Nothobranchius furzeri: one gene and its partner. The protein of the gene in region 1 purifies or fractionates together with the protein of each later gene. This does not show direct contact. Links are inferred from orthologs where the notes say so. Each region holds a gene or a part of one and is shown in the gene's direction. Other genes may lie near its edges.

Region 1 (4,648 bases):
CAGCTGTTCTCGGACTTTCACTGAGTGTACACTTTAGTAATGTCATTATATTTCCCATCTGGAGCATCATATTTTGGGATGGGAGGCGAGTAGACAGGACCTTCACGAGTGTAGGGGAAAAGGAGCAGATCTGGCTCCAGTGCTGCCAGGTACAGCTCCTCGGACTCCAACTTGAGCTCCTTCAGCGCCTCCCTTTGCGCCTCCAAAGCAAGTTCAACAGCCTCTACTTCAGCCTTGTGTTGCTTCTGCCAAACAAAAGACATACTTCATTATAACTAAGCATCTTGCAGAGAATAAGTCAAATGAACATTTTATATCAAATCTTACACATAAGGAGATGAAATACATGTTAACCTGTTTGTATCGACTCCATTCTTTCAACAGGAGAGCTCGACTTTCACTCTCTTCGAATGAAAGCCTTGGAGCAGGGCGCACTCTGTAAGAATAAATACAGAGAGGTAAAATCAAAACTCCAACGTTGAACAAATATTCAATCATCTAATTTGGTTTTACTGCCTAGGAGTTGCCATTGCTGAAGAACAGTGAATTATTTTTACCGTGTTTCGTCCAAACACTTGGTTGATGTCATAAAGTCCTCTATGGGAATGAGCTCAGGCGGTACTTTCTCCATCTTTTTCAGCCTTTTCTTCAGCCGCTCCCTCGCCATCTGTTCCCTCCGTGGGTCAACTTTCTTCTTCTTTCTTTGCTCCGCTCTGGTGCAACACAAACCGTGATTTTATGTTAGTGCATTTCATTCACAGGTTTTTTTTATTTTCAATCATTGATAAGTAATACACTCAGCACAAATGTAATAGTAACTGTTTGCATACACATTTTATAATGTTCTGTATTCTGCTGCTTTACTAAAATTTCCACAAGTTTAGGGTTAGATGGGATTTTTTCCATATTTGAACACGTGGGCCACAAACAACAAAGGCAGACAGAGTTTGTGAAACTATCATTTGATTTATGGAATTAAAGGAACATTTTAGTTTTCAATCTGTGAGAAAATTAAAAAAGGTAAAGATAGTGTATTGAAAATGTACAGCAAGGGCTAGATAAGCAGTTTTAAGTCGTGTATTAGTGACATAGAAGTTGGTGTGTTATAAAATCAGCTCGTCTCATCCTACCTCAGTGGAGCAGATGTTTTCAGGGTGACCACAGGTGAAAACCAGGGACTTTGTATAGCTTGTTTATGCTGTCCCAACAGGACGCTGCAAAATAATACAAACAAACTCAGAAGAATAAGAGTCAGCCGCCCATCAGCGTTAATGAGTAATTTTAGTCACAGATCAAGTTTATCACAATTTCTCTAGTCTATACTAAAACATTCATTGGAGGACACGTCACTTTTCACCGTTATTACCGTGAAGGAGCAGCGTGTCGGGACAAAACCCTGCAGAGACATCGAGAAAATTCAAAATGCATGTTTAATAGGACGTAGGTTTAATTAAAAACCAAAATCCGAGTGAAAAACTAAACAAAAACGTTCACAGGTCATTTGCCCGATGTCAATGTGGACCGAACACAGCTGAAATGTCGCACGAATATGACGTGACCCACCGTAAGATTTCAAGTTTCTCGAACGCAGATTCAGAGTTTTTGAAAACACAAATATAATTTAAAAAAATTCACATGACGTTTTTTTATGATCTATAAGATATTAAAAGTATTTAATGAAACTTTTACGTTATAATAAGCTCATATTAAATCTTGATGTAGATATTTTTTGTTGAATCTGTCTGTGTGAGCGACAAATTAGCCAATGCTTTATTTGGGTGAAAGGTCGCAGTGGCTCTTTCTACGCTCGTGAGCAGCTTGCAGAGTGCAACAGCAAGATATCTGTTTAAAACTTTGATTTTGGCTGAAGCGGATTGTTGAACCAACACCATGGCTCTTCTCAGAGGTAAACGAACGCTTCAGTTCAGCATTTAGAAAGCAGCAAACTGAGTGTAAATAAAGCAAAAAGTAGGACATTTTCGCTCGTTTTCTTGCTATGTTGTATACCATCAATGAATGACCTGCAGCTAATGCTGAAATTACAAATGTACTGTAAAACTGTACATGCCAGATCAGGTGAGTTGACACTTCGTCACCATATAGGCTAAAGGTGACAGGATAGTGTTAGGACGATTATTAACAGCTCTTCTAGATGTAAAATTGTATGTTTTTGGATTACTTTAATGTCATAAATTCTTAATACTAGCTTTTTTTTAACTGTGGGCAGCAGAAAAAGTTGGAGCTACATTTTTAATTTATTTTTATTATTAGTAGTATTATTAATAACCTGACCAAAATAATCCCAGTGAACTGCAGATATAATCCATACAGATAATTTGTGTAAAATGGGGGAAAAAAATCTCTCAAAATCATTTTTAAACCATAGAAACTATTGTAATGCTTCTGACAGTTATCTACTATCCTAATGATTTTTCATCATTTTAGTGGTGTGTGTGTGTGTGTGTGTGTGTGTGTGAGTGACAACAAATAAAACATTCTGTATTGTATCAGTGTTTTTCAGCGTGCCATAATAATACTATTGCATGACAACTATTCACAAAGTTTTGTTTATATCTCGGTTTACTAGTTTCAAACATACAATAACATCAAATTTAATATACAGAATTTGAGTTTCTAAATGAGTAAAATATAGAATCTGATAGCGAATGTGATTTATATTTTAGAATACAAAAAGATAAATGTGATATATTTTGATTATCCTCCCGCTTAACTATTATTTGATTCCTTTGTTTCCATTGATAGCTTTGTGTTTAAGTGATATTTTCTCATAGAATGAAGGAAAAATCAGATACATTACACAACAGTAAACAAACACACTCAACAAACAAATCTGATGTCACTTTGGTTTTTATCACCACTAAATCAACCCACCTCCTTTCAGTTCAGGTCAAAACGTGCTGCACTTCCTGACACGTATCACAGATTGCTCTGATTCAGAGCTAAAGGACACATAAGGCAACAACACAATGTAACTCCAAGTCAGTCACACAAATCAAACTCCTCTCAGGAAGCAACACCGATTGACAATTTCACATGTTATTGTGCAAATGAAATAGACAACAGGTGGAAATTATAGGCAAATAGCAAGACATCCCTAATAGAGGAGAACTGTTACAGGTGGTGACCACTGACCACTGCTCAGTTCATGTCTTCTGGCTGATGTTTTGGTCACTTTTGAATGCTGGCAGTGCTCTCACCCTAGTGATAGCATGAGATAGATTCTACAACCCACCCACACAAGTGGCTCAGGTAGTGCAGCTCATCCAGGATGGCACATCAGTGTGAGCTGGGGGCTGGTGGGGGTTGTGCTTACAGCCCAACGCCATGCAGGACGTTTAGCATTTTCCTGAGAACACCAACATTTGCAAATTCGCAACTGGCGCCATGTGCTCTTAACAGATGAAAGCAGATTCACACTGAGCACATGTGACAGAGTCTGGAGATGCCATGGAGAACGTTCTGCTGCCTGCAACGTCGTCCATCACGACCGCTTTGGCAGTGGGTCAGTAATGGTGTGGAGTGGCATTTCTTTGGGGGACCACACAGCCCTCCATGTGCTCACTAGAAGTAGCCTGATTGCCATTAGATACTGACATGAGGTCCTCAGACCCCTTGTGAGACCATATGCTGGTGCAGTTGGCCCTGGGTTCCTCCTAATGCAGGACGATGCTAGATCTCGTGACTGGAGTGTGTATGCAGTTCTTGCAAAACCAAGGCATTGATGCTATGGACTGGCCTCCAGACCTGAATCAAATTGAGCACATCTGGGACATCACGTCTCCCTCCATCCGTCAATGCTGGTGGATGGTTTAGTCCACGTCTGGGAGGAGATCCCTCAGGAAGCCATCCGCCACTTCATCAGGAGCCTGCCCAGGCATTGTAGGAAGCTCGTACAGGCATGCGGAGGCCACCCAGACTACTGAGCCTCATTTTGACTTGTTTTAAACACAGTAAATCAAAATTGGATCAGTTTGTTTTTCTACTTTAATTTTTAGTGTGACTCCAAATCCAGACCTCCATGGGCTGTATTAATAAGTATTTAACAAGTATTTAATATTAAGAATGTTTCATTCAGATCTAGAATGTCTTATTTTTGTGTTCCCTTTTTTCAGCAGTGTATATAAGAGCTCTGTTCAGATACGTTCCTGACAAATCAGAATGAGAAAGCTATTTAATGTAACGTTGAATGGAGATTATACATAAAAATAGGAGTGGCATTGAACTGGGTAAGAAGTTATTTAAGTGGAAGGGTACAGTATATTAATATTGGACAGAAAGCGTCAAAAAATCTTGACATTGCTTGTGGTGTACCCCAGGGATCAGTACTGGGACCTAGTCTGTTCAATTTGCACATTAATGATATTTTTGAAACATCTACATCACAAAAATTTATTTTATTTGCAGATGATACAAACATATTTTATAGCAGTGACAATTATCCAAATCTTATTAAAAAATAAATGAAGAATTGATTGTTGTTAAAAGATGGATGGACAGCAATAAGTTGTCATTAAATTTAAACCAGACTAAAGCAATAAAAATTTGGTAATCAAGAAACAAAGTTTGAGTTGCCAATAAATATAGATGGTTTTCAAATTGAAATGGTACAAGAAAGCATATTTTTGGG
Region 2 (4,596 bases), on another chromosome or scaffold:
AACGAAACACCACTCCAGTTCAGATCAGGCGGGCCGTTCCTCCCAATCACACCCCTCCAGGTCATGCTGTCATTGCCCACGTGAGCATTGAAGTCCCCCAGCAGGACAATGGAGTCCCCTGATGGAGCACTATCTAGCACTCGTCCCAGGGACTCCAAAAAGGGTGAGTACTCTGAACTGATATTTGGCCCATAAGCACAAACAACAGTCAGGACCCGTTCTCCGACCCGAAGGCGCAGGGAAGCAACCCTCTCGTCCCCCGGGGTAAACCCCAACACACAGGCAGAGAGTCTTGGGGCTAACAAAAAGCCAACCCCAGCCCTCTGCCTCTCACCCGGAGCAACTCCAACAAAGGAGAGTGTCCAACCCCTCTCAAGAACTTGGATTTCAGAGCCAATGCTATAGTAAGCCACCTGGAACCCAAGCCACATATGTGTCGAGGTGAGTCCGACTATATCTAGCCGGTACCGCTCAACCTCTGCCACAAGCTCCTGCTCCTTCCCCGCCAGCGAGGTGACGTTCCATGTCCCAATAACCAGTTTCCTTGTCCGGGGATCGGACCGCCAAGGCTCCTGCCTCAGTCTGCCACCCGATCCACATTGCACCGGACCCTTCATGTTCCTCCTGCGGGTGGTGGGTCCACAGTTGGATGAGCCCATATATCCGGTTCGAGCTGGACTCAGCCGGGCCCCATGGGCAAAAGCCCGGCCACCAGGCGCTCGCCCACGGGCCCCAACCCCAGGCCTGGCTCCTGGGTGGGACCCCGGTAACCCTCCAGGCCGGGTACTCGACTCTTTGTTTTTACGTCCATGAAAGATCTTCTGAACCGTTCTTTGTCTCACCCTTCACCTAAGACCCATTTGTCATGGTAGACCCTACCAGGGGTATCATATAAACAATGATGTAAAATAAATCTCGAAGATTAAGCTTTTGTATATAAATCCCCAAAAGCACCTCAGTGCTTCCGAGCATTTCCTTCTTATTAGGTCGACAACTAATGTGCAATATACACTAAACCCAGGATTTATTAAACTACTGATCTTCCTCCAACTTATTTTCTTGCAGTGTTAAAATGACAAAAATAAACTTCAGTCATTAACCAATCTGTGCTTAGTTTTAACATGTGTTTAAAAAGAAGTTTGCATTCATTCAGAGTCTCGACATATAAAAGAAAGTTGAAAAAGATTTTAAAAGTAAAGAAAGTTACATGGGAAGGAGAAAAAACTAATTAGAATATTCCACACACCTACAACGGTGTGAGATCAGTGAGAAACTTCTTGAACAAAACCTATAAGATAACTATTGTATATGTAATCGTGGGATTTATTAATACAATGTCACTTTGTGGATTTATAAATCCATTGTTGTTACCTGCATATCTGTTAGAGCTGCTGCGCCTGCAAAAACAACCAATAGGAAAGGAGATTCCTCTGCTCAGTGCTCTGGACCAATAAGAATACGAAGAGAAGGTGGGTTGTCATTTAGACGCTCTCTGATTGGTGGATCCTGTACGTGGGCGTGCGTAAGCTTTTTACTCGCGTAGAATCGGGAACGAGGAAGTAAAAAAACGAGCGAGGAAAAGTGAAGCAGAAAACTGGAGTCTGAGCTCGACTGTCATTTAGACACTTCTTACCTCGCCGTCACTTTACTCGGATACCACGATGGCTAAGTAAGTTTGAACTGATTCAGATGGTGAACATGTTAACTAGTAGTACTCGCTCGTAGTCGTTTCGTCTGTTTTTGAAGGTAGCTGATATATCAGTTAGCCTACCTGCTGTTGTTCGTCTTGTGTAGGTGTTTATCTTTTGTTTTGAGTGGAAATACGTTTAACGTGGAATCTGAACTTGGTGTGACCTACCGAGTAATCGCTATGGACTCTGTGAAATGAAGTGAAGTTTCAGGTTGACTTAAAGGTCTATGATTAAGATTACAACAACAAAAAGAAATCATAATCCTTTTAAAGAAGATTTACTAGTCTGTTCCGTTAGGGAACCTGTTGGCACGCGCCCATCGGGCCCTCTGAGTACATGTGATTTGTGTTCACAGAGCAGACATCGCACTGATTGGTCTGGCTGTCATGGGCCAGAACCTCATCATGAACATGAACGATCATGGCTTTGTGGTAAGACCTCCACTCCAGTTTGTTTACACTTCCATCGGGTACCACTCCTCTTCTTTTGTCTTGCTGAGCTTAGCCTGTCCAACAGGTCTGTGCGTACAACCGAACCGTGTCCAAGGTGCACGACTTCCTGCAGAATGAGGCAAAGGGCTCCAAGGTGATCGGAGCTGAGTCTCTGGAGGACATGGTGTCTAAGCTGAAGAAGCCCAGGAGGATCATCCTGCTGGTCAAGGCTGGGCAGGCTGTGGACGACTTCATTGACAAACTGGTTTGTGCCAAACTGCTGTAAAACTACATTTAGTGAACTTCTGATTTACTGACTTATTTACACTTTCTCAGGTTCCTCTTCTAGAAGCTGGGGACATCATCATCGACGGCGGCAACTCTGAATACAGAGACACAACAGTAAGTCTCTGAGGTTCATTTTTTGACAGAAAAGACTTGTTTACCTGTGTGTATATTTGTACCTTTTTTATGTGGTTGTTGCTCGCAGCGTCGGTGTAAGAGTCTGAAAGAGAAGGGCTTGCTGTTTGTTGGGAGCGGAGTGAGTGGTGGAGAGGAGGGAGCACGCTACGGACCCTCACTCATGCCAGGAGGACATAAAGAGGCCTGGTGAGTAATGAAAACGATCAGTAGAGATTTATTTGTTTATTTGTGTAAAACTGATAAAAATGAACATTTGATGTCACCGATGCCAAGGCCGCACATTAAAGACATCTTCCAGAGCATCGCTGCCAAGGTTGGAACAGGAGAGGCGTGTTGTGACTGGGTGAGTGCAGCATTTTTGCCTGTTTTCTTAACAAGTTGTTCCTGGTTAGATCTTATGATATTATGTGGCAGGTTGGAGATGAAGGTGCAGGTCATTTTGTAAAAATGGTCCATAATGGCATCGAGTATGGAGACATGCAGCTGATCTGTGAGGCCTACCACCTAATGAAGGATGTTCTGGGGATGGACCACGATGAGATGGCACAGGTGAGATTGTCAAAACATTATTTTTATACAACATCAAATATGGCTGACTGACTTTGATCCTCTCAGGCTTTTGATAGCTGGAACAAGACGGAGCTGGACTCCTTCCTGATTGAGATCACAGCCAACATCCTTAAATACAGAGACACCGATGGCGCACATCTGCTGCCCAAAATCCGGGACAGCGCTGGACAGAAAGGCACGGGGAAGTGGACGGCCATTTCCGCCCTGGAGTACGGCACGCCCGTCACTTTGATTGGTAGGAGAAATAAAGCTTTTACACACGGAAGTATCTAGTTTCTTTCCTTTTCTGGTAGTGCTGCTCTCAGAAAGTTTAGTTCCTTATGATAAGAAGAATGCCTTATACCACACCTTAAAAAGATTACAACATCAGCTAATGAAAGGCCAGTAATGACCAGATTTGTTCTTAACCAACACAAAGCTGTTAAAGGCGCCGCTTGTACAAAATGTTTCATTGTGTGTACTGGTCCAGCCAACATGGAGCAGCATGCATGGGTGGATTTCAGAGTAAAACTGGGACAGTTTGTCTTTCATCATCTGACCGGACAGTTTTTGCAAGTCATGCTGACTGATCTGGTATCCTTCTGTTCATTCAGAGGGGCGAGGATGTATGGCTTTTTTAATGAAGTAAGTGATGAGCTTCTTTTGTTGCTCAGAATGAGGATTTCATGTTTAAATGGGAAACAGAAAAAAAAGTCCATACCTGCTCCCTACTCGTGAGTAGCTTAGATGAATGTAGGAGTGTTTAAAATGGGTCCCATCTCACCAGTCCTGCAATAACCACATCAACTTCCTGTTTGTGAAAGGATGGATCTAAAACTGTTGGTTTTGGGTCTAGATGCATCTCCGTTACTTGTCTGAACCAGACATGTTTTACCCAGAACCAGAACTCCCAAACCCAGGAACTAACTCACTAAAAAGATGTGCAGAGACTTGTTCCTCTAAATCAGGATAGGAAAACACATAGATTTACTCCGTGTATGAACAGTGCTAAACAAATAAAGTTGCCTTGCCTTAAAAACGGTTAGAAAAAATGCTGAGTCATGCTGATTCAATGTTTTGGCGTTATCCTGCATGTCGTCTTTCTTTGCTATGCTGTTTGTTGGTTTTTGTGGGACAAATGCAAACATGTCCACCCGTGTTTATCTGTTTTCTCCCATCTCTCTCTCTCTCAGGGGAGGCCGTCTTCGCCAGATGCTTGTCGTCTTTGAAGGATGAGAGGGTTCAGGCCAGCCGCAGCCTCTCAGGACCGCAGGGGGTCAAATTCAGCGGCAACAAGGCTACGTTTCTGGAGGACATCAGAAAGGTTAAACCCACTCTGTTTTAATGTTTTGTTAAATTTATGCCATTTTAGGATGAAATCATAAAGCAACTATTCACATGAGATGTCTACATGCCACAGTCTGCTCTATTTATCAATAACAAACTATACTAGAATTAGGGATGCACCGATACCGATACTGGTATCTGTGCAGATACCGATA

What was found.
Region 2: the proteins of acaa2 (region 1) and pgd fractionate together in Homo sapiens (co-fractionation; 3 studies listed by BioGRID). This does not show direct contact. The link is inferred for Nothobranchius furzeri from reciprocal best matches to the Homo sapiens genes ACAA2 and PGD.

What each region holds. Positions count from the first base shown.
Region 1 is NC_091757.1:55,590,326-55,594,973, forward strand, and holds the start of acaa2 (3-ketoacyl-CoA thiolase, mitochondrial), read left to right. Parts: upstream 1-1,753; 5' UTR 1,754-1,890; coding exon 1,891-1,906; intron 1,907-4,648. Other genes in the region: mrpl40 (large ribosomal subunit protein mL40), read right to left, coding at 18-245, 355-436, 558-713, 1,131-1,214, 1,367-1,428. UniProt on the Homo sapiens protein: In the production of energy from fats, this is one of the enzymes that catalyzes the last step of the mitochondrial beta-oxidation pathway, an aerobic process breaking down fatty acids into acetyl-CoA.
Region 2 is NC_091755.1:29,355,029-29,359,624, forward strand, and holds the start of pgd (6-phosphogluconate dehydrogenase, decarboxylating), read left to right. Parts: upstream 1-1,528; 5' UTR 1,529-1,661; coding exon 1,662-1,669; intron 1,670-2,046; coding exon 2,047-2,122; intron 2,123-2,207; coding exon 2,208-2,387; intron 2,388-2,458; coding exon 2,459-2,524; intron 2,525-2,612; coding exon 2,613-2,731; intron 2,732-2,818; coding exon 2,819-2,888; intron 2,889-2,959; coding exon 2,960-3,094; intron 3,095-3,160; coding exon 3,161-3,350; intron 3,351-4,287; coding exon 4,288-4,418; intron 4,419-4,596. UniProt on the Homo sapiens protein: Catalyzes the oxidative decarboxylation of 6-phosphogluconate to ribulose 5-phosphate and CO(2), with concomitant reduction of NADP to NADPH.